Linked DNA regions of Cricetulus griseus. The protein of the gene in region 2 interacts with the protein of the main gene of each other region in a biochemical or structural test. Links are inferred from orthologs where the notes say so. Each region holds a gene or a part of one and is shown on either strand. Other genes may lie near its edges. The genes, in order: Mylip, Ube2d2, Rnf167, Ltn1, Rnf216, Pja1 and Pja2.

What was found.
Region 1: the proteins of Ube2d2 (region 2) and Mylip form a complex in vitro, tested with the Homo sapiens proteins (2 studies listed by BioGRID). The link is inferred for Cricetulus griseus from reciprocal best matches to the Homo sapiens genes UBE2D2 and MYLIP.
Region 3: the proteins of Ube2d2 (region 2) and Rnf167 form a complex in vitro, tested with the Homo sapiens proteins (4 studies listed by BioGRID). The link is inferred for Cricetulus griseus from reciprocal best matches to the Homo sapiens genes UBE2D2 and RNF167.
Region 4: the proteins of Ube2d2 (region 2) and Ltn1 form a complex in vitro, tested with the Homo sapiens proteins (2 studies listed by BioGRID). The link is inferred for Cricetulus griseus from reciprocal best matches to the Homo sapiens genes UBE2D2 and LTN1.
Region 5: the proteins of Ube2d2 (region 2) and Rnf216 form a complex in vitro, tested with the Homo sapiens proteins (2 studies listed by BioGRID). The link is inferred for Cricetulus griseus from reciprocal best matches to the Homo sapiens genes UBE2D2 and RNF216.
Region 6: the proteins of Ube2d2 (region 2) and Pja1 form a complex in vitro, tested with the Homo sapiens proteins (3 studies listed by BioGRID). The link is inferred for Cricetulus griseus from reciprocal best matches to the Homo sapiens genes UBE2D2 and PJA1.
Region 7: the proteins of Ube2d2 (region 2) and Pja2 form a complex in vitro, tested with the Homo sapiens proteins (3 studies listed by BioGRID). The link is inferred for Cricetulus griseus from reciprocal best matches to the Homo sapiens genes UBE2D2 and PJA2.

The regions. Positions count from the first base shown.
Region 1 is NC_048596.1:265,108,441-265,112,898, reverse strand, and holds the start of Mylip (E3 ubiquitin-protein ligase MYLIP), read right to left. Parts: upstream 3,210-4,458; 5' UTR 3,069-3,209; coding exon 2,982-3,068; intron 2,968-2,981; exon of another isoform or gene 2,216-2,967; coding exon of another isoform or gene 2,183-2,215; intron 2,169-2,182; exon of another isoform or gene 1,986-2,168; intron 1,880-1,985; coding exon 1,689-1,879; intron 1,666-1,688; exon of another isoform or gene 1-1,665. UniProt on the Homo sapiens protein: E3 ubiquitin-protein ligase that mediates ubiquitination and subsequent proteasomal degradation of myosin regulatory light chain (MRLC), LDLR, VLDLR and LRP8. Activity depends on E2 enzymes of the UBE2D family.
Region 2 is NC_048595.1:201,719,657-201,723,685, forward strand, and holds part of Ube2d2 (ubiquitin-conjugating enzyme E2 D2), read right to left. Parts: intron 2,125-4,029; coding exon 2,093-2,124; intron 2,014-2,092; coding exon 1,936-2,013; intron 1,858-1,935; coding exon 1,752-1,857; intron 1-1,751.
Region 3 is NC_048600.1:84,457,903-84,462,381, reverse strand, and holds the start of Rnf167 (E3 ubiquitin-protein ligase RNF167), read right to left. Parts: upstream 2,940-4,479; 5' UTR 2,813-2,939; intron 2,676-2,812; 5' UTR 2,272-2,675; coding exon 2,188-2,271; intron 2,105-2,187; coding exon 1,948-2,104; intron 1,180-1,947; exon of another isoform or gene 1,103-1,179; coding exon of another isoform or gene 1,073-1,102; intron 991-1,072; coding exon 917-990; coding exon of another isoform or gene 865-916; intron 766-864; coding exon 678-765; intron 518-677; coding exon 427-517; intron 262-426; coding exon 156-261; intron 20-155; coding exon 1-19. Other genes in the region: Slc25a11 (mitochondrial 2-oxoglutarate/malate carrier protein), read left to right, coding at 3,263-3,357, 3,965-4,117, 4,208-4,414.
Region 4 is NC_048597.1:9,913,474-9,917,502, reverse strand, and holds part of Ltn1 (E3 ubiquitin-protein ligase listerin), read right to left. Parts: intron 4,020-4,029; coding exon 3,789-4,019; intron 3,003-3,788; coding exon 2,950-3,002; intron 1,429-2,949; coding exon 1,248-1,428; intron 1-1,247.
Region 5 is NC_048597.1:79,660,679-79,665,293, forward strand, and holds the start of Rnf216 (E3 ubiquitin-protein ligase RNF216), read right to left. Parts: upstream 3,021-4,615; 5' UTR 2,865-3,020; intron 2,824-2,864; exon of another isoform or gene 2,801-2,823; intron 1-2,800.
Region 6 is NC_048604.1:70,903,468-70,908,021, reverse strand, and holds the start of Pja1 (E3 ubiquitin-protein ligase Praja-1), read right to left. Parts: upstream 3,113-4,554; 5' UTR 3,015-3,112; intron 1,076-3,014; 5' UTR 1,011-1,075; coding exon 1-1,010. UniProt on the Homo sapiens protein: Has E2-dependent E3 ubiquitin-protein ligase activity. Ubiquitinates MAGED1 antigen leading to its subsequent degradation by proteasome. May be involved in protein sorting.
Region 7 is NC_048595.1:453,411,001-453,415,174, reverse strand, and holds the end of Pja2 (E3 ubiquitin-protein ligase Praja-2), read left to right. Parts: intron 1-1,188; coding exon 1,189-1,314; 3' UTR 1,315-3,405; downstream 3,406-4,174.

The DNA.
Region 1 (4,458 bases), on a different chromosome or scaffold from region 2:
TAAATGTTTCTTTCTTACATGAATCAAGTAGATTTGATAATAGGTACTGACCCAATTACAGGAGAGTGTAGTAGAGACTATCTCATAGTCCATCATAAAGCAAGGACACATTCTCAGCTCAAACATATTATGCAAATACCCTTCCATGACTTAAATGAAGTATTTTTCTTTCCCAAGTTTTGGCTGATTTCAAAAATAAGTTTGTATCACTAGAATTGGGTTGCACTTGGAAGCCCTGAAATCTCAGCAGCAGCATCACAATACAACTGTTTGCCAAAAAAAGAAAGGGATAGAGGGAGGGAAGAGAGAGGGAGGGAGAGAAGAAGAGATGGGGCTAGTGAGATGGCTCAGAGGGTAAAATGTTTGCTCCCAGCCTGACAGCCAGAGTGCAATCTCTGGGACCCACATAGTGGGAGGAGGGAACCAACTCCTTAAAGTTGTTCTGTCACCTCCACAGGAATACAGATGTGTGTGCAAGCACAGGCATGTACACGTACACAGTGCATACACACATACAGAGTAAAAGTTTAAAGAAAGATAGAGCCTCTTGTGACTAACAGAGACAGCTCAGCATCTATAAGCATGCTATTGCATGAATATTCGTAAGGTATTTTCAGAAACACTAAAAATTCCTTATGCCAGTTTCCTTCATAAACAAGATCTCCCCCCACTTTTAAAGTTCCACAGCAAGACAAAGGGGATATTTCAAATCCAAACGAGTGGTATTTTAAAACGTTTCCACCGTTTGTCTGGCAAATAAACAAAACACAGTATGCTGAAACCTCTCCGAGGATCCTGTTCCCCGATTATGAGTTGAAATCTACAAGATCGCATTTTTCACATGCATGGCGCTTTTCCAAGCCACAGGAGGATGGGAAACATCAGTGCTGGGACCCACAGCTTGCTGTGGTTTTAAAAGCAATCATTTCCCTTTTTCAGTATGCCACTGTAAGTCTCTTGCATTTCAATAACAAATATTAAACATCACTTTTCTATTTTAGATCATCTTTGAGAAAAGGATAACAGCCAGTTGTGAGGGAAACACATTTTGTTGTTGTTGTTTGGTCGTTTAAAGAAGGAGACCACACACTTCAGTTTCTACCATGGCTGGTGGAACTTATTTTAACAAGGAGGGAAAAAAAATCTAATGCCCAACAATCATGTTTAATATAGCTGTAGGCTGGAGTTCAGTTACAGTGGCCTTCAAAGAGTTCTTTTATTAAGTTTTCATGAAACTTAAAAAAGTTTTAAAATCTGCAGGAGGCCAGACAGAGCACTCAGCTACACACTGTAATCTGACACTAGGCTGAAGACTGACCAAGTTTAAGTAACCCAAGAGGAACTGTTTCCTGCTTTCAGTTAGAACCGTCGACAATGACCTGTAGTAACACTGCTGAGGCGGGGTTACTAGCGGGCATTAGACATAGCTGTCAGGAAGTCAGTGTTGGGGGTTTTCTTTTTGTTTGTAAGAAGTCAACTCTGCTCTCCCATTAATAATATAGAGGCGTGTATAACCAAAACAAGAGTTGGAAAACCCACCCAGGCCAACTGTGCTTTCAACGGCAAATTTAAGTATTTCCTGAACTTCCTCTTCAGGAAGTCAAATTAGCCCGGGAACATCTCTGGAAGCCCCTCCTAGGTGGAATCAGAGGTGTACTTGACACTGGTTTATTTCCGCCTCACTTTACCTTGTCTGCTCCTGTAAGATGAGATGGGGCTCCACAAAGAACTTGACTCTCAGTTTGAGCCGGTAAGGTGCCAGCCCGTCCATCTGCTGGGAGATCCGGTTTCTCAAATTCAGCCATAAGCTTTCACCTTTGCTGCCGGTGAACTGCAGCCCAAAATAATCAACTTCTATGATCCCCAATCGCCTACACACCTAAAAACAAAACCAAAGGCAGAAGATATAGGCAATGCACACATAAGGGCTCCATCTGCGTGAAGGGCAGTCACCTACTTTGACCTTGTTATAATTCCAGTCCTACCGTGTTAACATTCCAGTGGTAGAATGGAAAAACAACGTTTTAAGGTACCAGCGATGCCAAAACACAGCGCTCCAAAGGAGCCTCGGCCTTGCTTGAATATTTCTAGGGTATGGCCAATTGCACAGGGTAAGGAGTCCCCTAAAACAGACTTCACAAAAGGCTGAGAAGGAAGAACCCAAGGGTATTTTATTTCTTACTCCAATCGCTGGAATTCCTTCCACCAGCACCATCTGCACAGCTGATCTGGCAGCTTATTATCTGGGCAGTTCTAACCATCTGGATTCCAAAAACACAAACACGTTGAGGAAGCATGCCACAAGTGTCAGCTAAGCTTCACAAGTGGCTTTCCAATCAGCTCAGGTCTACAGGTCCCGAAGGCACAGTGTTTCAGGGGGATCAAATGTGCCTGCCATATCCACCATGCAAATACTGTTCAGAGCCTTAGTCACTCTAAAGAAAACACACGTGTAAAGACCACAAGCAGGAGACTGCCAGAACCGTTCCCCGCAAATTACCAAGGATACTCTGGATCCCCAGCAAGCCCGGAGTGTCAGGTGAACTCTCTTTCGGAGAAGCAGCTAGAGACATGGGCCCACCTGATTAGCTAGGGAACCCCGGGGCCCGTGACTGTCTGCAGCCACCTCATCCCGGGACGCGGGTGGCGCTGCCGGGCTTTGCGAGGACCCCACGGGCGGCATCACGCACACACCTGCGGCAGGTGTGCCTGGTCACCTTATTTAGAGAAAAGTGCCGAGGTAAGGGACAGGGTTGCAGCTCCTGGCAGTGTCCGGGTTTCCAGGCCCGGGATCCCCCCCCACCGGACGCGTCCTCTATGCCCCCCACCCCCGCCGCCCGCGGGGAGGAGGCTGGAGCCTGGCGTCCGGGGCGCGCTCCACGGGCCGCTGCTGCAACGTCGCCCGGCTCCGGAGGACCATCCCCGAGGCCCCAGGCTTCCCGGGGACAAGTGGGGATCCCCTTTCCGATCGTCCCCCTCACCTGGTTGAGACAGTCCTCGCCGTTGGCTTTTGCCTCCACCTCCACCTCCATCAGCACTGCGTCCGGCCTCGTCACATAGCACAGCATGGCTGGGGCCGCCGCCACCGCCGCTTCTTCTCGGGTGTGCGCCGCGGCTGTCGCCTCACTGCAGTAGCTCTAAGTCGCCTCCGGGCTCCGCGAGGAAGGTGAAGCGGTGCGGCCGTCTGCCCTGCACCCCACGCACCCCACGCAGCCTCCTCTCGCGTCCCCGCCACCCCCCGCGGTCTCCCACTCCAGAGTGCTCCACGGCCGCGCCGCTCGGACAGCCCGACTGCTTGCTCCGAGACAGGCACGCGTCTTTTATAGCGGCCCCGCCCCCTCCGGCGCCGGCCTCCGCCAATCACGGCGTAGTTGCCCCTCCTCCCCAGCCCCGCCGGCCAATACGGAGCTCCGGCAGACTGGAGCCCCGCCTCCCGGCACCGCCTGTAGAGCTGCGGGAGGTGGGAGCCCCCACCCCCACGCCTGTACCGTCACAGCCTCTGCCGCTGGGCGACGCTCCTCCCAGCCCGCTGTCGCCTGCCGCTCCAAGGGACGCCTTTCTGTCCCTGCTCAAGAAAGAGGACCGTGATCAAACGCTCCCGCGATGCCACTGTTCTCACGACTCCCACTCCAACAACCAGGTGGTTTGTGAGAGCCCAGAGGGAAGCGGGCAAGCCGGAGCCTGAAGTTAAGACTTTTCGGCCGGGATTTGCCACTGAGGGTGGCAAAAACGCACAATTTGAGCAGGAAAGTTTTTGCAATTGACCAATAACAAGCTGGGTAGCTTGATCTTAAAAGCACCATTCTTACATAAACGCGTGCCAAGAGTTTTGAATGCAAGGGTTCTGCTAAACCGAAACACCTAGCGGAGTGCTGGGGCCTCCATTGCGTTACCCATTCTATCTAGGATCAAGTCACTCACTATCACCTGATACTTTCCCTGGGAGAGCCCGAAGTTACTCCATGTTAGAGGTAAAGGGCTCCTCTCAGGACCCAGCAGGGGTGGGGGTGGAGTTTAGTCTCAGTAGAAGAGATTAATGGTTAAAGGCCATGACTTCATTGCCTGTTTCTCTTAGCCTATACAATTACTTTGCCTGCCTCTTTGGTTTGTAACAGTGGTTCTCAACTTGTGGGTCGCAACCAGTTTGGGAGAGGGGGGTCTAATGACCCTTTCTTTCACAGGGGTTACCTAAGACCATCAAAAAACACAGATATTTACATTATGATTCATAACTGTCGAAAAATTACAGTTCTGAAGTAGCAACTTATGGTTGGGGGGTCACCACAACATGAGGAACATAAAGAGTCACAGCATTAAGAACTACTGATTTATAAGATAAGCCAGGAGATGTGGGTTTCAGCCTTGGGTCTTTGGAAAACTTCATTTCTCTGAAGCTTGGTATTCTCAGAGTAGAATGGATATTTTTTGGGCCTTCCCTCAGCATCCCTGTGAAGCAAT
Region 2 (4,029 bases):
TGAGGTTCTGTTCTGAGTTCAGTTTTTAGCAGAACAAAAGCAGATCTTCTAAATCCTAGATTGAGAACACTTGGCAGTGCCAGTGAATTTCAATTTTTAGAAGCTCAAGTTCAGAGAATATCAGCTGTCAAATTTCCAACAACAGACAAAATTAGTTGTCTGACATCACTCCATTACAAGGAAACTTCAAGGACAGTCCAGGATATAGAAGATTGTCTCAAAAATGGAATAAATTCTAACCAGGTACCAGCTCACACTTGTAGTCCCAGCACTATAGAAACCAAAGCAGGCACATTGCCACAAGCGGAGACCAAGACAGAGTAAAACCGGTCTTAAAATAGTAACAGAAAGGCTGGACCTTGGTGGTGCACCCCTTTAGTCCCAGCACTCGTTAGGCAGAGGCAGGTAAATCTTTGTGAGTTCAAGGCCAGCCCACTCTACAGATGGAGTTCCAGGACAGGCTCCAAAGCAATACAGGGAAACCCTGTCTTGAAAAACCAAAAAAACAAAACAAAAAAACCAAACAAACAAACAAACAAAACAAAAAAAAAACAAAAACAAAAACAAAAAACCCAACAAAAATAATCAAACAGGGCACCAGTGAAATGGTTCATCATGTAAACCACTTGCTGAATAGCCAGCCAAGCCGAGTTTGATTCCTGGAATCCAAAGGTGGAAAGAGATAAATAACTATATGAGTTGTCCTGATTTTCATGCAGTGCTGTTGCACTCTCCCTACCCAACATACACAGACAATAATAAATAAATAAATGAAGCCAATAATCACATCATCTTCTCACTGGTAGCTTGTTTGTTTACACTTTTAAGGCAGGACTTCACTCTATCAAGCTAGCCTCAAGTTTGCTATGCAAAGAATAATCAGCTTGAACTACTACTGATCATTCTGCTTCCACTTCCCAAGCATTAGGATTACAGTGTATACACCACTATAACAGTGTATACACCACTATAACAGTGTATACACCACTATAACAGTGTATACACCACTATAACAGGAGTCTACCTATTCTTGAGTATCACAATCAACAACCTGGCATCATACCAAGGATTATCTATTCTTGAATGTTAAAACTCTTTCATTGTATTGGAGACATGGCTCAGTGGCTAAGACCACTGACTGTTTTCCCAAGGGACCCAGTTTAATTCCCAGCACCCACATGGCAACTAACAACTGTAACTCCAAAATCTGACAGCCTCACACACTTACATGCAGATAAATAAAAATTATTTAAAAAAACAAACGAGTTATTAAAAAAAGAAAAAGATGTATGCAGTTAAGACCACTGGCTGTGGGGGCTGGAAAGGTGGCTCAGTGGTTAACAGCACTGACTGCTTTTTCAGAGGACCTGGGTTCAATTCCTAGCACCATATGGCAGCTCACAACTGTCTGTAATTTCAGTTCAAAGGGACCTGACCCCCACGGCAAAGCACCAATGCATATAAAATAAAAAATTAATAAATTAAAAAAAAAAAAAAGACCACTGACTGCTCAGAGGACCCAGGTTCAATTCCCAGTACCCACATAGTGGCTCACAACTGTCTGTTAACTCCAGTAACAGGTGATCCAACACCCTATTCTGTCACCTGGGGGAACCAGGCACATGGTGCAAATTCATTTAAGGCAAAACACTCACACATAAAACAATTTGAAAAACAGATAATCTCAAAAAAGATAAACCAACAAACAATAAAATCAGTTATTTCACCTTGATATCAAACAACTCCATTACCTTTTGAAATAGTTAGTGCTGGAGACCACTGTGACCGTAGAATATCAAGACAAATGCTGCCATTACTGTTAATATTTGGATGATAAATTCTTGTTGTAAATGCAACCTGAAGAAAAAGAAATCTCTAATTGATTTACTAATATCATACAGAGCATATTAAAAGCAATGATCGTATTCCAATTACCTTAGGTGGTTTGAAGGGGTAATCTGTTGGGAAATGAATTGTCAAGAAAAACACTCCACCCTGATAGGGGCTGTCATTCTGTTGATGATAAGAAAGTGAGATTTAAAATGAATAAATCACATAAAGTAACCATTAAGGAATTAAAGTGAGTACTTACTGGCCCCATTATTGTAGCCTGCCAATGAAACACTGAAAAAAGAACAAGAAAAAGAAAATCATGTTAATGATATTCATATCACACCTATACTGTAGAAACCGATCATTCCCTGCCTAATCAAAGTTCATTTATGCCAGGTGGTAGTGGCCCACACCTTTAATCCCGGCACCAGGAGGCAGAGGCAGATGATCTCTGAATTCTAGGCCAGCCTGGTCTACACAGGGAGATCTAGGACAGTCAGGGACTTATTTCAAAAGGTAATGGAGTAGCTGTTTGATAAAGGTGAAATAACTGATTTTATTGTTTGTTGGTTTATCTTTTAAGATTATATGTTTTTCTAATTATTTATTTATTTGTTTATTTATTTATTGGGTTTTTCAAGACAAGGTTTCTCTGTGGCTTTGGAGGCTGTCCTAGAACTAGCTCTTGTAGACCAGGCTGGTCTCAAACTCAGAGTTCCTCCTACCTCTGCCTCCCAAGTCTTGAGTGCTGGGATTAAAAAAATGTGCCACCACATCCTGCTTCAATTTATTTTATGTGTGAGCATTTTGCCTTAATGTTACACAGAGAAATCCAGTCTCAAAAAACCAAAAACCAAACAAAAACAGTAAAATGAAACACCAAAGTTCACTTATACACAGTAAACAGTATGATACAACTTTTTTTTTTTTTTTCCTGAGACAGGGTTTCTCTGTGTAACAGCTTTGGATGTCCTGGAACTCACTCTATAAATTAGGCTGGCCTCAAACTCACAGATATCTGTCTGCCTCTGCCTCTTCAGTGCTGAAATTAAAGGTATGCACCACCATCCCCTGGCAATAATGACTATTTTCTATGGCCAGGATGAAGACTCTAAACCAACTGTGATTCCAAACCACCTAAAAGGCCAGGTGTTGCTGGTGCACGCCTTGCCTTTAATCCCATCCCTCGGGTGGCAGAGGCAGGCGATCTCTGTGAGTTTGAGACTAGCCTGGACTCCAGAGGGAGTGCCAGGATAGGCTCCAAAGCTACACAGAGAAACCCTGTCTCGAAAAACAAACAAACAACACACACACACAAAACCAAACCACCAAAAAACTGAATGAATGAACGAGGGAGGGAGGGAAGGGAGGGAAGGAAGAGAGGGAGGGAAGTCTTTAATCCCAGCACTCCAGAGGCAGAGAGGCAGGCAGATCTGACTTTGATGCCAACCTTAGATCCACAACAGCCAGGGCTGTTATAGAGAAAGCCTGTCTCCAAAAACCAAACACACCAAAAAAAAAACAGACAGTCAACTTAAAAATAGGTGAAAAGAGGCTGGAGAGATGGCTCAGAGGTTAAGAGCACGGGTTGCTTTTCCAGAGGTTCTGAGTTCAATTCCCAGCAACCACATGGTGGCTCACAACCACCTATAATGAAATCAGGTGCCCTCTTCTGGCCTGCATTGCAGGCATACATGCAAAAAGAACACTATACATAAAAAAAAAAAAAAAAAAAAAAAAAAAAAAAAAAAAAGGCAGAGAGGCTAGAGAGATGGCTCAGTGGTTAATCGTGCAAACAACTCTTGTAGACCAGAGTTCAGCTCCTAGCACCTGAATCAAGTGGCTCATAACAACCTGTAACTCCAGCTCCAGAGGATCTGATGCCATCTTCTGGTCTCTGAACATTTACACTATTTACACTCCTGTGCACATACCCACCTATCTCACACACAGCACCACGATGAACAAAGTAAAACCATCAACAAAAGAACCCACACAATTTTCTTGAGGCCAGGAAGGTGGATCAACAGGAAAAGTTTTGTTACTAAAACTGACATGAGTTTGATTTCCAAGACTCAAACAGGAGGTGAAAAGCATCTCCCAAGCAATTCTCTGGCCTCCACACATTTCACAGCATGTGCACATGCACTGGAACTAAGCATGGAGTACACCTACAACAATGCTGGCAAAGCTGAG
Region 3 (4,479 bases), on a different chromosome or scaffold from region 2:
GCTGGATACAACGAACTACCTAGGAGTAAGGGAGAGTGGACCAGGCTTAAGTTGAAAAAGAAAAAGAAAAGAAAACACTGGAAAATCCAATAACCACCTCACTAACCCTCTCCAGACACAGTCTGGCCTTGTAATTTCTTCCCACTGCTACTTACCAGTACAGCTCCCATGGCCAAAACCAGCAGTCCTACTATGCCAGTGAAAGGAATGAGATAATAGCCCAAGGGGAAACTATTGTCTGGAACCAGAAGCACCCGGGCCCTAAGAAAGAAAGACAAGTCTCAAGCCAGGAACCAGGCAAAACCAGGTAACTGGATTGGGACAAGGCGTTGGTGAAGAGAAAGGAAGAGCCTGAGTGTGAGTGGGTAGGGTAGTGAGGCTTGGGGAAGAGTGGGAGAAGAGGAAGAAGAAAGCATTATGTCCTACCCCTTCTCATAGACAAAAAGGGCTCGTAGGTACTCTGCACTTCTCTCTCCAATAAATACAGATGGGATCCAGATCTGCTGTTGGATTTCCTCTGTAGGGAGCAGGATAGTGGGGATTTAGCCTTCCACTCAGTTCCCTGGAACTGGCATCTGACACTTTGCCCATCCCACCCAAAGAACCCAAAGGCCTCTTTTGATCCTTTAGTCCTCCTACTGAAAGTCCATCGGTGCAGTTTCCCCAGCCTTACTCACCACTATTCCACACCATGTTCAGAAGCTCATTGGAATGCACATTGTGAACCACAGCTGCACCATACCCAGCTTTTTGAGCATTTAAGACCTAAGAAGACAAAGCACGGACAACAGTCATAAACTTTGCCTTTCTTTGCTTCCAGTGTCATTTACCATGTTTACCAGCTCCCATTCCACATTTAGCAACCTTGAGGTCAAAGTTGCAGTCGAATCTTCGAAGCAGTGCAATAAAGACTGACCCATTGACCGGAGCTGAGGGTGGTGGGGCAATGGGACTGCAGGCATTTTCTGGATGGGCCTCCACAAGGAACCCCTGAGGAATAAAAGCAAACAGTTGGATTTTCCATCTTTACATTCTGCCTCCCACAGGGCCTATCGAATATAGTGATACATACACCATCTGTATTCTGTAGCTCTACCCTCATTGAGGTCTAAGCATCCCACCTGAATCAGAATCTACATCTCAGGCCGGCATGGTGATACATGCATTTAATTCCAGCACCTGGAAAGTAGAGTTAGGCAGGCAGGTGTTTTGAGTTGGAGGACAGCCTGGTATACACAGTTCAGGACAGCCAGGGTTACACAGAGAAACCTATCTATAAAACCAAACAAAGCAGAATCTAATCTCTTGGCTTCCCGAAGATGCAATTACAGAACATATCACCTCTTTACCAGAGGCTCTCTCGACTTCTCAAATTCTTAGTTTAGTTCTGTTTTTCCAGTTTCCTGATAATTCAGCTTGCTACTCATCCATGTCATTTTCACCAAGTTTTTTTCAGATTCGTCTTTTTGTGTACATACAGCACTTTCAATAACCCTCACTTTAGAAACAACTATTGCTATCCGTGGTCCAACTGAGTTCTTCCTATGTGGCAAGAACTTTGTAATAAACTATTACAGACATGCTTAACTCAACTTACCAGTTAACACAGTAGTTCTAAGTTAATTTCCATTACCCATTTTACTAAGGGTCAACAAAATACCATCCACAGCCATTCATACAAACAGTAAACAGCTCTGGAGACATTACTGATAAGCACCTGCTTCCTATCTTAATTCACTCTCCAATGTCCCTCTTAAACTTGGGAGTTCTCGGACACTGCCTTCTGCCTCTAGATTCTGAACTCTACATTGGACACGGTCATATACTTAGGTTTTGGGCGGGGAGCTGGTATTGGTGATTCAGTCTCACTCGTGTTAGGAAAGCACCCTATCACTGAGTTCTATCCACAGCCCAACGCATCCCGCTGCTAACTCGACTACTTCCTACCTCCAGTTGGATCCAGAGCACGGCTACTCAACCCCTGCCCAGGATAGAGACTATAAGGAAACGGGGAGAGCATCACCTGGAGTCCCTCCTCGCTCAGGGCAGCCCCAAATAGAGCTGGGAGGTCTGCAAAGTCCATGCTGGCATTGTGCTCCGAGGTCTGCAGACAAAATTAGTCCGTTTTTCTCTTCGGCCTGGAAACCCTTCTCGGCACCCTCCGCCCCATCCGCCCCTTAGACTCACCGCTCGAATAAGGCCTCGGATAGGGGATGCTCCCCACAGCACAGTAGCCACAACAACAGGAAGCGGGAAGGCTGCAGGGTGCATGGCAGCGGGAGGGGTAAGGCTGAGGAGGTCGCGTCCTGATAGGAGCCGAGTTCTGCGACCTCTCTGCCTCCTTAAGGATCCCAGGGGTCCAACCACCCCCAGGTCCTACTTTCTCAGCTACATGGGGGCGTCGGGGCAAAACTCCGACTCGGGAAGTGCGGTATGAAACCAGCTTAGTGGAGCTGGGAGGGAGACAATGTATCTTTCTCTACTACAGAAATAAAACGGAGAATAGAAACGAAGGCAAAAAACAGGTAACAGAAAAACTTCAGGAAGGGTGGGGGAAATCTCAAAGAGGTGGGACTTCCGGCCAGGTAGGCCGTCTTCCGATCCCCTGGAAAAGGGTTTCCGGTAAAGAAAGGCCGCTTCCAGTATTGGACGCTCAGGACGGAGGACTTCCGGTCCTAAAAGGCCGGTTGAAAGAAATGTTAGACACGGAGAGAGTTCCTGCGCAGATGGAGGGAGCTCCGATGCCCAGGAGACGACCTAATTTTCTTTTCCCCTCAGCGCCCGAAATCTTGGTGCTGCCCTGTTTACAAACCTCTCTGCCTCCTGCTCGCTGCGGTACCTCCAAGTATCGCGAGAGTGCTTACCACCACCACCGCCACCCCATCGCTAAGCTGAAATTTATCGCGAGAGAGAGGATGCCGGCCCTAACTCGACTGTCTCACTCGTTCTCGCGAGATTTTCAAACACTAGTTTCCCGCGATTCCAATTCGGGAAGGGCGGGGGCTACAAAGAGGCTTCCTAGATCAGCCACGCCCCTTCGCTTACGCATACTAGCCCCGCCTCCTTCCCGGCCTCCTTTGCGCTAGGCGCCTGCGGTCCTCCCCCCCCCCCCGTCCGCCCCCCAGTTTCCAGCTCAAGCCAGACTTGCCTGTCGGAGGGGCGTGCGCGCGCGCGCCTTCGCCCTGTTGCGCGCTGGTGTCACCTTGGGCGCGAGCGGGGCTGTGCGTGCACGGGACCCAAAGCCGAGGGCCATCAAGGGGCGATGGCGGCGACGGCGAGTCCCGGGGATGGCCGGATGGACGGGAAGCCCCGTACCTCCCCTAAGTCGGTCAAGTTCCTGTTTGGGGGCCTGGCTGGGTAAGCTCAGGCCCCAGGGATGGGAAAAAGGAGGAAGGGACGGGCGCAAGTAACTGGGCCCAGTGCATCTCGGGGTATGTTGCAGTAAATGGAGCGGGTGCGGGGTCACCATAATGTCCAGAGTATTGCGACCTCCCTGGTGGGCTGACAGGATTATTCACCCATCGCAGGCCCCTACAGGGCTGGCTTCATTCAAGAGTCATTGCCCCGCGTGTTTCCACCACCATTGCTTCACCGTGCCTGATTGTGTGGTGGGTCTAGGTTATTAGAGGCGTTGTTAGAGGACCGCTTGGAGTCGTAGGTTATGGATGTCCTCTCCACCCCTCCTTAGTCAGACTGCCTGTAATCTAATTCTATTTGAGCTCTAAGGAACTGTTTGAAGTGTTTTGATTTGCATGGTCTTTACTGGACAACTGGACTTTTTTTTTTTTTTTTTGCCTGGCACATCGCCCCTTCGTTCACACACTTATGTACATGCCCACCAGCCTCCTGAATCCTTAGCTGCATGTCAGGCCCTGACCTTCGTAACTTCTGGCTGCCAGGTTGCAGTAGACACTAATAGAGCAGGAACAGCTGAGCTCTGTCTCCTTTTCCTGCCTTACTCCAGGATGGGTGCTACAGTTTTTGTGCAGCCTCTGGACTTGGTGAAGAACCGGATGCAGTTGAGTGGTGAAGGGGCCAAGACTCGAGAGTACAAAACCAGCTTCCATGCCCTCACCAGCATCCTGAAGGCAGAAGGACTGAAGGGCATTTACACTGGGTACTGGGGCCTCCGGTTGGGAAGCGAGGTTGTGGGTTGGCAGGTCCAGACCTTGGCCCGATAGGCTTTGCTGACCTTTCTGTTCCTCAGGCTGTCAGCTGGCCTACTGCGCCAGGCTACCTACACCACCACTCGTCTTGGCATCTATACCGTGTTGTTTGAGCGCCTGACTGGGGCTGACGGTACACCCCCTGGCTTTCTGCTGAAAGCCCTGATTGGTATGACTGCAGGTGCAACTGGTGCATTTGTGGGAACGCCAGCTGAGGTGGCTCTTATCAGGATGACTGCTGATGGCCGGTGAGTTCCAGGTCTGAGCTTGACTCCAGCCCCATTCCTGGAATCTAGAGTGAAAGATCTAGCTA
Region 4 (4,029 bases), on a different chromosome or scaffold from region 2:
TTGTGAGCTACCATACGGCTGCTGGGAATTGAACTCAGGACCTCTGAAAGACCAGCCGGTGCTCTAAACCTCTGAGCCACCTCTCCAGGCCCTAAATGGAACATTTTAATTAAAATTATATGTAGCAGCACTAAGAGTCGGGTGCAAGAGATGGGGAAGGAGAAGCAGTTCTCATGTTGTAACCAGGCATCGTTTCATCTTTTTCCAATGTGGCTCCAAATGTAGCGTTCAAGTGCAACAAGACTCAGCTATGACTTACAAAGTCAATGTTTGCAGTGTGGATCTCGTAGCTAAACGGGGAAGTACTCGCATATACAAGACAACAGACACCACAGCCAGCAACACACGCAACACACACACCACACACACACACACACACACACACACACACACACACACACACACACACACACCACACACACACAGATTAAAACTTCTTGTGTGACACAGAAAAAAGACTGTTAAATAAACCTAATTCAGGCATGAATTCCAGTGCCTGGTCATCAGTTCAAGGTTAATGAATCGTTTTCAACAGAAACACCTAAATTAATGTTTTATACTGACTCATTAAAGAAACTGTTGAGAGCTGGGCAGTGATGGCATGAGCCTTTAATCCTGGAGGCAGGAGGATCTCTGTAGCCTAGTGTACAAAGCAAGTTCCAGGACAGCCAGACTACAACAGGGTAAACCAATCTCAAATGAAAATGGAAAAAGAAAAGAAAAGAAAAAGAAAAAAGAAAGACAAGAGAAAACTGTTGTAACTAACAACTCACAGGAATCTAACCTTGTATTTCCCCTAGGAACAATGTTCCAGTATTCTCTCATTCAGTGTTTGTGCTAACACTGTAGAAATGACTATGGATAATGCAACTGGCCTACACAAGCAAAATGCATACATGAAAAGCATTAGAAGGTGGAGAAAGGGAAAGTGACCAAAGGCGTGAAGTGTACTGAACAAGTCTTGCATACAGCACTAATTCTAAACTGCCAGGAATTCCATGGTGTGGTCTAGTTTTAATTCCACCTGAATGAACAGTGAAAATACAGACCCCATAAAGCAAGTCAGCCACTTCAACCCAACGACAAAGGTGGAAACAGAGTAGCAGTAAAAGAGGAACTAAGTCCTGAATGACCAATTAACTACAAAGATGTGCTTGCATAATTTTAAACACAAACAATAAACATGAGCATAAATGCAGAATTAGGGGGAAGTTATAGAAGTCTTAAAATAAAAATTATTACAATACCTGAGGCACATTGTGTTTTCCATACTTCCAAAACTTATTCTGTGATAAAAGTGATTTAAATTTGTCTTCCAGAGAATCGAGCTCATTGTTAGGTAAGAAGCAAAGCAGTTTCTTTAGCGCCAATAAGGAGCACGTTACAACTCGATGGAATTTAGCCTCTCTCTCCTCCTCTGGAACAGTTCTGCATTTGAAAAATAAATAGCTTTTGTTTTTTTTGGATTTTTTTATACACATACACATATGGAAGTCTGCTGTAGAATATTTTAAGACGTGTTACATTTGTTTATGCTGTGGAGCATTTGTTTAATGATGCAAAGATGTGTTGCATTTGTTTAACTGTGAAGCTATGCTATTAGACCTGATAGGCTAATAAAGAGCTGAATGTCCAATAGCAAGGCAGGAAAAAGGACAGGCAGGGCTGGCCAGCAGAAGAACAAAAAAGGAGAAATCTGGGAAGAAAAGGAGAAGGAGCGGGGCTGGAGAGATGGCTCAGAGGTCAAGAGCTCTGGCTGCGTTTCCAGAGGTCCTGAGTTCAATTCCCAGCAACCACATGGTGGCTCACAACCATCTGTTATGAGATCTGGTGCCCTCTTCTGGTGTGCAGATATACATGGAAGCAGAATGTTGTATACATGATAAATAAATAAAATCTTAAAAAAAAAGAAAAGAAAAGAAAAGGAGAAGGAGCAAGAAAAGGAGAGGAGGATACTAGGGGCTAGCCATACAGCCAGCCACAGATTAAGAGTGAAAGTAAAATATGATATATAGATGTAAGAGAAGGAAAAGGCCCAGAGGCAAAAAGGTAGATGGGGCTAATTTAAGTTCAGATAAGCTGGTTAGAAATAAGTCAAGACAAGTCTGGGCATTTATAATTAAGAGTAAGCCTCCATGTGTGATTTATTTGGGAGCTGGGTGGCAGGCTTCCCAAGAGTAAAAACAACAAACAACAACAGTCAGGACAAACTGGGGAATAGTTTCTCTCCTTCCACCATGCAGATCCTAGGGCTTGAATTCCAGCTTTTAGGATTGACTGCAAGACAGGTAGACTTTTAGTCACACATCTTGCAGTTAATACAAGTGAAAGCAAATGCTTCACTCCCACACATGCAGGAAGGGAACACAAGCACAATGCTCGCTCAGCAGCAGGTGCTGGGCAATTCTACCAAGGGCGGTGAGGCACCTGACTACCTGATGCAATCTTGAAAGCTTAATCACAATACAACATGTATGCTGCGTGGTGGTGGCTCATGCTTTTAATCCCAGCACTGGGGAGGCAGAGTTAGGAGGGTCTCTGTGAGTTAGAGAGCACCCTGGTCTATACAAGCTAGTACCAGGACAGGCTCCAAAGCCTGTCTCAAAAAAAAACACAACATGCAGGTAAATAAAACATTTTACTACTTCTCTAACAGAACTACTTAATAACTTCAAGTATGCCAAACCTTAAAACAGTTCCTGCTATGACTGCCAAAAGGTAAATGTGAGAAAAAAATGTAAAATTCTTTCTAATAGAACTACATATATAGCTCCAAAAATTCAAATGTAACAGCCAGCAAGTAAAAGCACAGAGCAGGCACCATGTAGCATTCTTTGAAGTAATTTCACCTGCATTTGCAATTCCTTCTTAGAACACATCAAACTGAAATTACACATGACACCAACAAAGTAAATGCCTCCTGTGTTACTTAGAAACAACGTAACTTACTGAGGGTCACTGAGGGTATCAGGAGTTTCTTTCAGAAGGTGATCCTGTAGTACCTGAAGGAGAAAACCATCAAAACCTTGAGATCTTATGGAACTGTCAATGATGATCAGATATAGGGAAAATCTACTTTTTAAAAACTCCCCATACCTGCCGGGCAGTGGTGGCGCGAACCCAGCAATTGGGAAGCACAGGCAGGCAGATCTGAGATCAAGGGCAGCCTGGTCTACAGAGTGAGTTCTAGGACTGCCAGGGTTACAGAGAGAAACCCTGTCTCAAAAAAATAAAAATAAATAATTAAATAAATAAAAATTCCCATGCCCTCAAACCACCGACTAACCAAATCAGACAGCAAAATTAAGAGGTTTGAACCTCACCCATTTTTCTCTTCCTATCTCTCCCTACACTGGCTGCTACTGTGGTAAAGACAGCTCCAATTCCCGTAGAGAAGTTCCCACTAAACACTCGTGGTCATTTGTTACTCGTTATTCCACTACTACAGGACCATAGGTGGGATCGTCACCTAGTAAAGCCGAGAGAGATTAGGATCTGCTTTCCTTCCCCATCACTGGCCCACAGAGAACATGCAGTCACACGTGCAGGTCAGGGGACAGCTGCGCAGTCAGCTCTTTCTACCTTTATGAGGGTTGTAAGGAACACTTTTACCCACTGAGCCATCGTGCTGGTCCCTCCATACCTTCTGAGGTCACAGAAACCTTTTATGTTGATTGTGTATGACAAGAGAGACATAATTTGTTTCTAGCAAAAAGAGCTACCACTGTATGCCTGAGAGCCTTCAGACACTTGAGAAACACGGGTACAGAATGATTCCAAAAACTCACACTTGTAATTTCTTCCTTACAAAACACTATGGCTTCAGGTTGCTTGCTCGGAGGGAAAGCGGCTTCAAATGCATCTTTTGCTGCAGTTGCAGCTGGTGGGTATGTATCACACTGAGCCATTAGCCAATATCCCATTACACTTTTTAAATATGGAGCCAAGTGCTTCTTTACTTTAAGGATAAGTTTTTCAAAAGCTTGCTGTGTAGCCTCTCGAACCCGGCGATCATGATCCTATTGGAAA
Region 5 (4,615 bases), on a different chromosome or scaffold from region 2:
TGAGTTAGTTCCAGGGCAGCCTCCAAAGCTACAGAGAAACCCTGTCTCAAAAAACCGCTTTTATGGCTTGTAGCTGATGGTGCTTTCTGAATCCTCAGGCAAGTTTTAATAAATCATAAATAATATATCGCCACAGGATAGCATTAACAAGGTAGAGTAGGATAGTTAGAGGCAAGAACTGTGCAAACAAATGAGTTCCAGACTCAGCTTTGAACCTTATTCCATTTGTTATTTTTCAGCACCTCCCTACACACACACACACACACACACACACACACACACACCGGAGAATCTACCTCACTGACAGGACTAAGAAGAGTGATATGAAAAACGCTTAGGGATTTTTGTTTGTTTGTTTGAGACAGGGTTTCTCTGTATTGTTTTGGAGGCGGTCCTGGAACTCCATCTGTAGACCAGGCTGGCCTCGAACTCAGAGATCTGTCTGCCTCTGCCTCCCGAGTGCTGGGATTAATGGCAATCGACACCAATGCCTGGTGCTTAGGGTTTTATGTAGTACTTAGCATCAAGTTTGGAAAGATAAGGCTGGTGAGTTAGCACAATAGGTTAAGGGTACTTGCTGCTAAACCTGACAGCCTGAGTTCAAAACCTGGGAACTCATGTGGTGGAAAAGAACTGATTTCCAAAAGTCCTCTGACCATTAAGCATACTTAAGTGTCCATATACAAACTAAATAAAAGCTTTTGCCGGGTGGTGGTAGCACATCTCTTTAATCCCAGTACTCAGGAGGCAGAGGCAGGTGGATCTTTGTGAGTTCAAGGCCAGTCTGGTCCTCAGAGTGAGTCCCAGGACAGCTATAGCTACACAGAGAAATCCTGTCTCAAAAAAACTCAAAAAACTCATGTGGTAGCACATGCCTTTAATCCCAGCTCTTGGGAGGCAGAGGCAGGCAAATCTATACAGTGAGTTCCAGGACAGTCAGGACTACAGAGAAACTTTCTGTCCACCCCCTCCCCGCCCAAAAGTTTTATATAGATGAAGGATGACAAAGAGGGATCTAGAATATGGCAAAGCCTAGAATACAGTAAACATAGGAAACAGTACTTCACTGTTAGTAAACACCCACCTGGTGGTGTTGGCATACCCCTTTAATCATAGCACTTTGAAGGCAGAGGCAGGTGGATCTCTGTGAGTTCAAAGCCAACCTGGCCTACAGAATGAGTTCTAGGGAAGCCAGGGCTGTTATACAAAGAAACCCTGTCTCAAAAAAAAAAAAAAAAAAAAAAAAGCAAAAATAACAACAACAACAAAGCCATTCTCACCAGGTTTCATAAACTTTGGATCTCCAGAAGCTACAATTTTATTAGATTTCTCAAGATCTTTTTAATAGCTGCTCTTGTCCTTCTTAGACAAGTCCCTAATGCAACAGGTTCAAGACCCAAAATCCAGGTTCAAGATCCACAGCCATTTCATGAAGTTCATTTGGACACAAACAGAACACAAAGCTTGGTTATTTCTTAATTTGGATAAACTAAACTGAGATGAGGACATAAAAATACTGTTCTTACAGGGCATGGTGGGGCATGCATTTAATTCCAACACTTGGAAGACAGAGGCAGGCAGATCGCTGTGAGCTTGAAGCCAGTCTGGTCTACAAAATGACTTCCAGGGCAGCCAGGGCTACACAGAGAAAGCCTGTCTCAAAACAAACAACATACTGTGCCTCCCTTCCACCCAGCAAGGGCGGGCACAAGCTCCTCTGCATACGTTAAAATACCAAGCAGATGCATAAAGTCACTGATGGGGGTGAATCCCCCCATCCATGATGGGGGTGAAACTTTACCCTAATCCTTCACCCCTGCTCTGTAAGCAAGCCCCCCCCCCCGCCAAAAAAAATCATTAGTCAAACCCAAACCAATCAACCAGAACAAACAAAAAACCCAAAAAGGGGTATGTGTGGCACTCAAACTCAATGACAAGCTGATATCTAAATTCGAGGCCAGACCCTATCTAAAAAACAAACAAAACATTAAAACAGGACTAGTTGGCCTACACCTTTAATCCCATTACTCCCAAGGCAGAGATCTGTGAATTCCTGAGTTCCAGGGGACAACCTCATCCACTTCTCAGGTTCCAGGTTAGCCTCGGCTATGCAGTGACTCTTAAAAAGAAAAAAAAAAAAAAAAAAAAAAAAAAAAAACAAAGACACCAAACTCCAAAAGGGTAACGGCTACCAAGACACTAAACACAATGGAGGAGAGGGTCCCAGGTCCCTGCACCCGTTTAGACGGACGGGGAGCCTGGGATCACGGATGAGCAACAAGGGGGCCGCCTCGTTCACTCGAGCGTGGGTCTCGCCGCTCACCCAGCGTGCCACGCGCCACGGGAGCACCAGGGCTCCGACTGCAAAAGCTGTGTGTCCCCTTGCTCCGCGGAGCGCCGGCTGGAATGACAGCGTCAACTCGGACCCGAGGGGGCCCAAACTAGCCCGGGCTGGAGTTCAAAGTCAACAGTCCGCCGCCTCTTCCGCTTCTCCAGGCCGCGGTAGGGAGCGCCGCCACCGAAGCGAGAGCCGCCAGCGCACAGTCTCTCAGCGAGCGGCTCGTCGCCCCCCGCGCCGCAGGCCGGCCGGAGAAACTTCCTAAGTGGCGGGAGGAGAGCCGGCCGGCCAGCGGTCGTCTCCGCCGCTCCCCTCCCGACACCCCTGCGGCCCCCCGGACCCCCGGGACGCGCGAACGCGCCCCTCAGCCCCCGCCCCCACCCCAGAGGCGCCCTGGCGGGAGGCCACTCTCCTCAACTCGACCCGAGGCCCGAGAAGCCCACGCGCGCGTCCGTCACGTACTCGCCACGCAACTAGCCCAGCTCCGCGAGCGCCACTCGGCGCTCGGAGTTGAGTCTCAAGTCACCTGAAACAGCCGCCTGAAAAGCTTCGTCGCCTCAGCCGCAGGCGCCGCAGCCGCCGCCGCCGCTACCGCCGCCGAGGCCGCTACTGGGTTCCTTCCGGCCTCGCCACGGCGTCCACCTCGCGCCTGCGCGCAGCGCCCCCTCCCGACTAATGACAGGAAGAACCATAGAGGCACCCGGAGGGCCGGAGAGGAGGGGCTTGGAGAGCGAGACTGTAGAGATGGCTGCCTAGCGGGCCTCCATCTGGGCTCCACAGCTTCAGAGCCTTGACTCCCCCTTGCGACTGGAGGACAAAAGAACAGCTGAACCCTAGGGTCTTTGTCTCATCTTAAAGCTGCGGTGGGCCGCTGACCATGGAATCAACAGATTAACCACTTATTTGCCCTCTTATGAGATGTTTCTGTGTACCAAGTGAGACAGGTCAAATGACTCAACTCTCCCCCAAGGGTATTTGGTAAAGAATAAAGTTGTTTTGTTTGTTTGTTTGTTTTTGTTTCCTAAGACAGGGTTTCCCTGTTTCTCTGTCTAACAGTCCTAGCTGTCCTGGAACTTACTTTATAGACCAGGTTGACCTCAAAGTCACTGAGATCCGCCTGCCTCCCCCCCCCCCGCCCCCTCCGTGCGAAATTAAAGGCATGCTCCACCGCCGACAAGCCAGAATAAGGTATTCTTAAATTCTATTCAAATAAAGGCTGGAGATCTGGCTTAGGGGTTAAGAGCATTGACCCAGATTTAATTCCTAGCTCCCACCTTACAGCTCACAATGGTCTGTAACTTCAGTTCCAGAAGATCCGACGACCTCTTTCCGGCCTTTGTGGGCACTAAGCATGCAAGTGGTGCACAGATAAACATGCAAGCAAAACACCTATACACATAAAATGTTTCAAAGAAAGTGAAAGATGTTAATTTTTTCCGTTGGGCAGTGGTAGTGCAAGCCTTTAATCCCAGCCCTCGGGAAACAGAGACAGGAGGCTCTCCGTAAATTCTAGGCCAGCCTGGTCTACAGAATGAGTTCGAGGACAGGCTGCAAAGCTACACAGAGAAACTCTGTCTCCGGTGTGGGGGGGTGGTGGCACACACAAACTTAAGTCACCGTGTTTTGTTTTAATTTGTTTTTAAATTGTGTGTGTGTGTGTGTGTGTGTGTGTGTGTGTGTGTGGTACAAGGGCAGATAACTTCAGAGTCTAGAAGAGGCCATCAGATTCCCTAGAGCTAGTTCTGAGTCATGAATTATGCATGTTAAAAATGGAACTCCGGTCCTCTTATAGAGCTGTTAGCACTCTTAACCTTTGAGCCATCTCACCAGTTCTGTTTTAGGTTTTATTAGACAAAAGTATATGCGTGCATGCATGCATTCCTGAGTGTGTGTGTGTGTGTGTGTGTTGCTGAAATTGACCCCCAGTCTCACACTTGCTAGGCAAACTGTCAATCCAGTCCCCCCCTTTATTACTTTATTTAAATTTTGAGATAAGAGTTTGCTAGGTTATTTAGGCTGGCCTTGAACTCACAACATAGCTTAGCCTGACCTTCAACTTATGATCTTGCTAGAAAGTTCAAAGACCAGAAGATACTGTGGATCAGGAAACTCCTTACTGAACCATAAAATAGTAAAAGGCATTACATTGTCAAAAACAGTAAGTTTGCTAGCTTTGGTGTCTCTTCCTGTTTATAAAGCTACTAATGTCACTGTGAGAGCCCCACCCTCATGACCTCACCTAACCTCAAAAAAAGCTCCATTTCCTAATATCAATAA
Region 6 (4,554 bases), on a different chromosome or scaffold from region 2:
CGTCGCCGTCTTGACACTTTCTCTGGTTTCACCTGCCCATTCCTGTTATCCTTCTTGTCTTCAGGATACTTTGGCTCAGAGGAGCTGCCTGCACCCTCACCTCGGGCTCTTCTTGCTAGGCCCTCTGCATGGGCTTCGCCAGCATCAGCACTGGCAGCATCTCTCCACCTGGGAGTACTCTGTGGTACTACATCATCATCATCATCAGTATCAAAAAATATTTTTGGTTTCATGCAGTTTGGAGTCGCCACATTCCGGACTTTTGGCCTTACCACCGGCTCCTCTGCACTCTTTGGGGAGTTTTCCCCACCACCACCACACATACTCACAGGAGCCCTGCTAGGACGTGCTAATAAATTCTGCCTCTCCCTCTCCAAGCTGTTGTTACCCCTTGCAACTGCCCTGCCTTCAGCAGAGGACATCTGAGAGGCCATACCACTTTGCTTCAAGAACTCAGCTCTGCTAGCAGAGCACCTTGCAGCAGGAGGGGGTTCTACCTTGCCAAGCCCCTCTTTCACATCATGGTTAACACTAGAGAAGCGGGGAGCTCTTGCCCCCTTCTCTGGATCATGCTTAAACTTGCCAGTTTTCCCTCTCACTGGCAGTCTGTCAACAGGCCCAGCCCCCTCCTCCTCACTATCACGTGCCCTCAGAGTGCCAATATGTCCATAAGCCAATCCTCTTCGGCTCCCGGAGGCCCTGTACTCTCTTGGAGGATACCTGGGATAATCCCCATTCTCAACATTCAGGCTGGTTCCAGAGCTCTCTCTGTCATCCCAACGACGTCGTGTGCTGGCAAATGGTGACCGGCTCCTCTTGGTGTGATTGGGGGCTGATCTGTGCATTGGGACTTCGGATGTTGTCCTTCTCTGGCTGGCAATCCTTTCCTGATGGCTTGTGGACCGCCTGAAACTGACATAAGCATGTCTCCTTCCATAACTCCTGACTGCATTGGACCGATACCCTCCTGCTGGTTTGGGCCGAACAGGCTTGCTAGATTCCTGACCCATGGCTGACTCTGAGATTCCACCAGAGCTGGGATGCAGGTGCAAAGGCTCTTGCTCCCAGGTCAGAACTACAGAATAAGGAGATCTAGTTTTCCTTCAGTAGGCAGGTAAGAGAGAGATAGGGGCCCTTTAAAATTAGTTTCACTGTCTTTTAAGGCCTGAGGTAGCATTCCTGTGACTGGTGTAGACCTGAAACACATTTTTAGTGTTTGCAAAATGATTACAGGACTGAGTTCACAAGAAAGGTGGGGAATAAGACAGAATGTGTGTGTGAAAGAGTATGTGTGTGTGTGAAAATGTGTGTGTGTGAGAGAGAGGGAGAGAGTATGTGTGTATGTGTGTGTGAGAGAGCATGTGTGTGGGGGGGCGGTGATTGAATGCTTAGAATGTAGATGTGCTGTGGAAATATGGGAAGAGTAAAGCCCGCTGTGAGCTTGGATTTTTTGGGGGGAAAGGGGAGATGTAGTTTTCTGAGAACTGCAGATATTGAGAAGAAATACAATTTAGAACAGAACTGAAAATATAGTTCACTGTGTATGCGTGCACAAGTGCAGTGTCTGTCAGGAGAGAGACAGGTGGATAAGGGGCCAGCAATCCTGCAATGCAGGGATTTCTGTAGGGGGTGGGAATGACAAGAATGGGTGGGGCAGTTTTAGAGGGGAAGGCTGTGAGTATGAGAGAAGAGAAGAGGCAGTGCTCCTGTTAAGTGTGGCAGCTGGAACTATAGAGGGAAGCCTGCATTCCACAGGCAAGGAAGTGAAAGGGTATTGGTAGCAATGAGGAAAGTGTATAAAAGTCAATATGGGAGGCAACAAGGGGCAGAAAAAAAGCACAGAGGATGTATGTGGCGGATGGAATACAGAGGCCAGCAACTAAAGAATGCTAGAATATGTTAGTATGGCAAACAGGAAAGGGGGTACTGTCCCCAGAGGATTTGTGTGTGAAGGTGAAGTATGGAACAGAGGAGAAAAGAACATTTGAGAAGAGTGTGTGAGCCAGCTTCCTATGTGTACATGTATGTAAGGAAAGCAACAGAAGGATGAAGATGTCTTTAGATGTGTGTGTATAGCAGACATGAACAGGGAGGCCATTTTTCAGAGAGGGGGAGGGGGAGGGGAAGGAGAGAGAGAGAGGGACAGGGAGGGAGGGGGGATGAGAGAGAGAGAGGGTGAGGGAGAAGGGGGTAGGGGAGGGTGGGGGGAGGGAGGGAGGGAGAATACACTCTCAAACACGGGTCAGAGGAGAAGGACAGGGAAGATTCTAGAGATAGGAGGTAGGTGAGGGGAGAGGAAGGAACTAGAGGGTGTGAGAGAGGGTGTGTGTGCTTGCCTGTTTGCACATGCGCAGAGGAGCTCTCGGAAACCTTGAGGATGCAGGGACAGGGACCAGACTGCAAAGGAGGTTTGTGTGTGCCTGTGCGTGTGCCCGTGTACGCGCACGCGCGTGCGTGCGACACAGAGGAGGGGGTGCAATGTCATAATAAGAGACAGGAATACGTCCTTAGCTCAAAGGGCAAACCCAAATCAATGTGGCAGGCCAAAAGAAAGAAAAAGGTTTCGTGTAGGAATCCTGATTTTCCCTCAGAATACTGTTTATCTTTTAGTAATTATTTTATTGAGCACATATTTTGTAGCTAAAAATCTTAGCCCTGTGCCATTATACATAACAGCAGCGAAATGGGTGAAGAAAGGCTATAGAGTGCTCTCAAAGACGCCAAGAGCATTGCAAGGAGAGACAGGTAGGAGTGGCAGAGGGCCGCGACCACCAGACCTCTCTCCGACAGCCATGAAGGCCATTCGGGCTAGGGCCATAAGGCTAGGCAGGAGCTGGGCAGCAAGGGATGCGGTCCCCAATGAGGCCACAGGCCTCGGCATGTGGTCAAGTCCCCTCTGCCCCACCCCGCTCCCAAGATAAACCCGCAAAGGGGTCATTGGAATTCTGCCCATGCCCATCCGGCAAGGCTCGCCCACCTGTCCGGGCTACTACAGCAGGCTGCCTTGCACTCACCTTCCCGGCCAGTCGCGTGCTCAGAGCTGCAGAGCCGATGGACCTTCGGTCGCCACCACCACCACCGCTGCTGCTCCGGGTCTCGGCTCCTCCCCCGCTAAAGAGCACTAGGGCAGGCGGGGACTGCGGCGGCGGAAGTGGCCGTGACGTCAGCGCGAGTCCGCCCCCTTGATGTGGCGGGGGCGGGCTACTGCCCTCTGCAAATCCGGGTGGGCTCGAAAGCGTTATTTCGTTTGAAACGCTCAGCTTTTTCAGGGACACACACACAAACACAAAGGCAGCAAGAACTGTAACAGTTCTAACAAATGTTAAACGTTTGTCACCTTCCTTCAGTTGCTTTCTTTAATAAACTGAAATCTGAACATTCTGATTAATTCTAACATTATAGTTAATTATATTACTATATCACATCCTATGTTACATGCTATGGTTTTTCTGTGGATATTAAAATCTATAGCGGTATTTAGAGTTGCAGTAGAAACATCAATTTTTTTAAGCCTGGTGTCTGAGGCAAACCGAAGATGTTTGCAGTGAAATATAGTACTGTCGTCACAAAACCAGGCTTGTCTATCCATTACATTACATGCAACACAGGTTCACATTTTGTGAATTGCAACACATTTTAAAATGTCAGAGATGGGCTGGGCGATGGTGGCGCACACCTTTAATCCTGGCACTTGGGAGGCAGAGGCAGGTGGATCTCTGTGTTTTGGAGACCAGCCTGGTCTACAAGAGCTAGTTCCAGGACAGCCTCCAAAGCCACACAGAAACCCTGATTCGACAAACCAAAACCAACCAAACAAACAAACAAATGGCCGAGTGTGGTGGCCCATGTCTTTAAACCCAGCACACAGAAGCAGGCAGACCTCTGAGTTTGAAGACAACCTGGTCTACAAAGCCAGTTCCAGGGCAGCCAGGACTACACAGAGAAACCCAGTCTCTGAAAAATAAACAAAACAAAGTAAGTCACAGATAAACCCTTCCTGAACTCTTTGAATTACATGGATAGATACTCAGATCAATGTAGAGTTCTTGAGTTCACAGTAGTAGCAAAGATTTGCTCTCAGGAGAAATACAACGTGTAGTAGAACAAAACAAAAACCCTTCAAGGGTGACAATACAAACAGTATGGGTATTTCCTATTAAAAGAATACTGTGTGACCCTGAGGGGGCAAAATCCAAAAAAGGGCAAAAAAAAAAAAAAACAACCCAACAAACAAACAAAAAACGAGAGGGTGAGCAAGAACAAAGTGTGTAGAAAGAGAAAACAACACTTAACAGTGTGTAGTATGGACTATTAACTACATAAAATCAAATTCACTCTACATGGTAGCTCATGCTTTTGACCCCATCCCTCCAGAGGCAAGAGGATTTATGTTTTTTTTCCAGGACAGTCTGGTCTATATAGAGACTTCCAGGACAGCCAGGGTCTCAAAACAAAACAAAAATTGGAGCATTTCTTTTTTCCTTCCTTTTTTTGGGGGGTGGAGTGGAATGTGCATAGGGATTGTTATAGTCATTGTCAGACAAGGTCTCATTA
Region 7 (4,174 bases), about 250 Mb from region 2:
TATAAAGCCTCCCCTGGGAAAAAGGTTCCCAAAATGAAATTCTTTGTCACCTTCAACAGCATGGTAGCTTCGCTGCCCTTCCTTCTATCAGAGAGATGCATTTGGGAAAGGCCAGACTTGCAAGGACATGATGTGTCTTCTGTGAGGTGACAGGTCTCTGGGCTTCCATTGGTTTTAAAGCTGTTCTCTTCCCATCTTCTGTCCCAGGTCTGTGGTTAGTTTGTGTTGTTACTTAGAAGGCACATAATTGTCTCTTTTTAGAAAGGGGTTACCTGGCTAATAAAGTAAGGTCTGAAGTCAGTCTGGTTGATCACATCTGTCTACAATAAAGTGAGGCTTTCATGTATGTATATAACAAGGATGGGCCTGATGGGGCTGTAATTTTCTGAGCCAAAATTGTGTGGGGTCTCTTGTATGTGCCTAATAGATAAATTATTGGGTTCAGGTCATTAATAAGCTTACCTGACTGATTTCCATGAGACAATGTACTGATTCGTTGCTCAGCTTTGACCACAGCATCCATGCCAAGCATGGAAGCTGTAAATAAAAATTCATTGAGTAAAAGGTGAGTTGAATCCAAGGTACAAACATGATCATAACGTGCTGTTTTATATAAAAGAAATTTGAGCTGGGTGGTGGTGGTGCACAACTTTAATCCCAGCATTCAAGGGGATGGAAGTGTGGCAGAGGCGGTGGATCTCTTGAGTTTGACCAGCCTGGTCTACAGAGCAAGTTCCAGGACAGCCAGGGCTACACAGAGAAAAAAGACAGAAAGAAAAGAAATTTGGCATTGAAATTTTTGAGATGGCATTAAATAAAAGGCATTAAAATTCTGTCTTATGCCGTGTGGGTGTGAAGTGTATTTTTTGTTTTTAATACTTGATTTGGGAGCTGGAGCAGTTAAAAGTGCATGTGCACTTAGAGGAGCCGAGTTTGGTTCACACCCGTGTCAGGTGATCACAATTGCTGGAGCCCTGCTCTGGAGGAGTCTGGCACTGCCTCGTGGCTCCACAGGCACCTGCTCCTACGTGCATAGACACACACACACACAGAATGTAAGGCAACAAATGTGTTTTTAAAGGGCACTTGATTTGTTTGCAGCTAATGATGCTATGATTTTCTATGACGATAATGCTGGTCTATTGTTGTGTTGTGTGTTAACTGGTCTGTCTGTCTGTTTCCCTGCAGTCGGGGACCTGCCCTGTGTGCCGCCGTCATTTCCCACCTGCAGTCATTGAAGCATCTGCAGCTGCTTCCTCTGACCCTGACCCTGATGCCCCGCCTGCAAATGACAATACTGCAGAAGCCCCATAAGAGAAACATGGAAATGACACCTGAAGTCTATCACAGTAAATCTGCAAATTTCCTCTAAATCTGATGTGCAAATAATTATATATAAATATATTTAAAATGCTATATATAGTATATGCCATAGTTTAGAAAGAGAATATTAACCTTTCTAAACTGAATTTAGGTTTGCAGAGCATACTAAATATTTGCAAGCTGAATGCTGAAGCAGTGCATCCATTTCCTTTAGTTGGCTACATCTTAGACGTAACCCCGCTGAGACGTTAGGTAACGCAATATTCAGTGAACACTGGATGCCTTTAAAGAAAGGCTAGCAAAGCATGTGAATGGTCTGGTGTGCTCAGTGCTCGGCACAGTTACATGTGTTTGGCTTACGAAACACTGTCTAAGCCCTTATCAGTCTGCTTCTACTTGTTAAATACTTGAAGGTCCGGAACACTCTTGACATCCTCGTTTAAGAAGCTGGCTCTAGTTACTTTAAGGTCGTTTGGTTTCAGAAATAGTTTAGAAGGTCTGAGGACTTGCACATGGCCATGTTTGTAACTGTGTCACCCCAAATAAAAATTGCACAGCTTTTAGGTGATCACATGAGCAGGCAAGTCTCTACAGATGAGAGTGTAATAGGTGGCTTACAGATGTCAACACCAGAGAGGAGTGGCTGAGACGGCACAACACGGGAGCACACAGCGAGTGCACATCTGCCTGTCCATTCTGATACAGCTGCAGGAATACCTACAGAGCTTCTGAAATGCACAGCTTCATTTCAGTTGTGTAATATCTGAGTAGTCATTCTTTCTTCTTTCTCCATTCTTAAAAATAAGTGAATTTTCACTGTTGGCACATTTGAGGCTTCACTATAAGGAATATAACACTTGCATTCTGATTTTTGCATATATTGTAAATGTGGCTGGTATAACAGCAAAATACTGTGTATCCTTTTATGGGTAAAACAAGTGAACATTGCATGCAAGTAATGTGGTGAATTTGTAATTTAGGGGTTCTGGGGCTTCTGTGACTTTGGATGCTTACATTCAGGCCTTAATGTTGCGCTAGCTAGCATGCTTCCTTCTGATGTATATAGTCAGCATTGTACAAACTAATCTTTGCTTGTTTTCTACTCTGTGGTCTTTCCATACCATATTTCATGGATGATGAGTCAGTGTCAAGAAGTCACACGAGATTCACATTAGTCCTCATGTGTACACTGTGGAGGTTTGTGGGTTGTGTGGTTTGTTTGTGTGTTTTCTTTTATGTACTGTTGATTAGTTGTGGCACTTACTGATTAAACTTACATTGCTGCAGATTGCTTTGTAACAAGCCACATGTTATGTTTAGTCAGTAGTAAGGGACCTTGATTTTTATTCTCCTAGATAGCAGCTGTCCCAAAGAAAATATTTCTTCTTTGCCTATTAAGATTTAGCTATTATCTGCCAGTTGTTAAGAGGTTTGGTTCCAAACTCAAGCAGAGAGTTGAACGTAAGATAGCTGTTGTCCTTTTTGCTTTCCATCTGTTACCGTCCTTCATTGTTGGCTCCCAGCTACGTATACACACAGCTGCTGTGAAGAAGAAAGCTGAATAAGACTTGCTTTAAATTTTTTAAAAAGAAAAATGAAGTTCTAGAACTTTGATGGTAACAAGCCAGTATAATCTGAGGCTGACAAGTTCAGACCCCAATATATTATTTCATCTTTTTGCAAAGTTAAGAGTATATGAAGGTAAATTAGAAATAGTAAAAATATTGATAAAATGTCATTTATCTTATTTCTCTATTTTTTGTTGTGACTTGGCCTAATAATTTTAATTTTTTGAACATTTTATTTCTTGTAATACGAATGCTGATATTTAAAGTTAGACTCATGTGGATTTCTTTTGTTTCTTAGTTGTTTATCTCTAAGCTAACTAACTTCTAAGATTATTTGTGATATGGATTTATATATAAGCTGTTAAATATATATGAGCTGTTAAAATGGAATGCAAGGTTTCAAAAGCCCAGGTCTAACTGTAATGATTGGTTTATTGTTATACAATCCCAGCCCGCCATTTTCCGTGTAAATCATAAACAATAAACAGGATATACTCGGTGGTCATTTCTAATATTTAATTGTGTAATCCTATCACTTCTGTAGCATAATCCTTAAAGGATTTAGAGTCAATAACAAAGAACCCAACTTAAAAAGAACACTAGACAGAGCAGACAGGGACTGTGTAGAGAGGAGCTGGTGGGCTTGTGGTGTTCCAGAGGCTCTGAAGGAGGGGCTGCTGCCCTTTTCTGCCTGATACCCTCAGCAATCCCAGGCTTCTGCAGAGCCCACTTCTGACATCCTCAGCAATCCCAGGCTTCTGCAGAGCCCACTTCTGGCCTGACGGAGACTGTGGAGCCTTTGAGTTCTTGGTGCTTCACTCTAGTGGCTGTCTCCAGACCCAGTGCAGGACTGACTGTTGTCAAGTATGCCCACTGAGGATGACCTCGTGGCTCACAGACGGCTCAGGGATTGTTTTTGAGTCAGTTGGGTAGTGAATAATGTCCACATTATTAATTAACAAAAACAAATTTTGTACAGAAGTGTTAGAATTCCATTTCCTAATACGCATGTTAGAAAAATACAGTTGAGTTAAGAATAGCAATGCTGTGCATATGCCCCTGCGTAGTACCGAAGAACTTCTCAAATGGCATCCTTTGGTCCAGCGGTTGCTGGTGCAGCCTTTTGTACCCTGCGAAGGCAGGGTTTCTCTCCAAAAACAGCATCATTCAGATCTCTGTAGAGCATACAGCTCTTACCTCTTCCTATCCTCCCTCAGGCTTCACTGTTTTAAGTGTTCCATGATGTCTGACCCAGACCCGTCTAAGGCTGACTCTTCCATCAT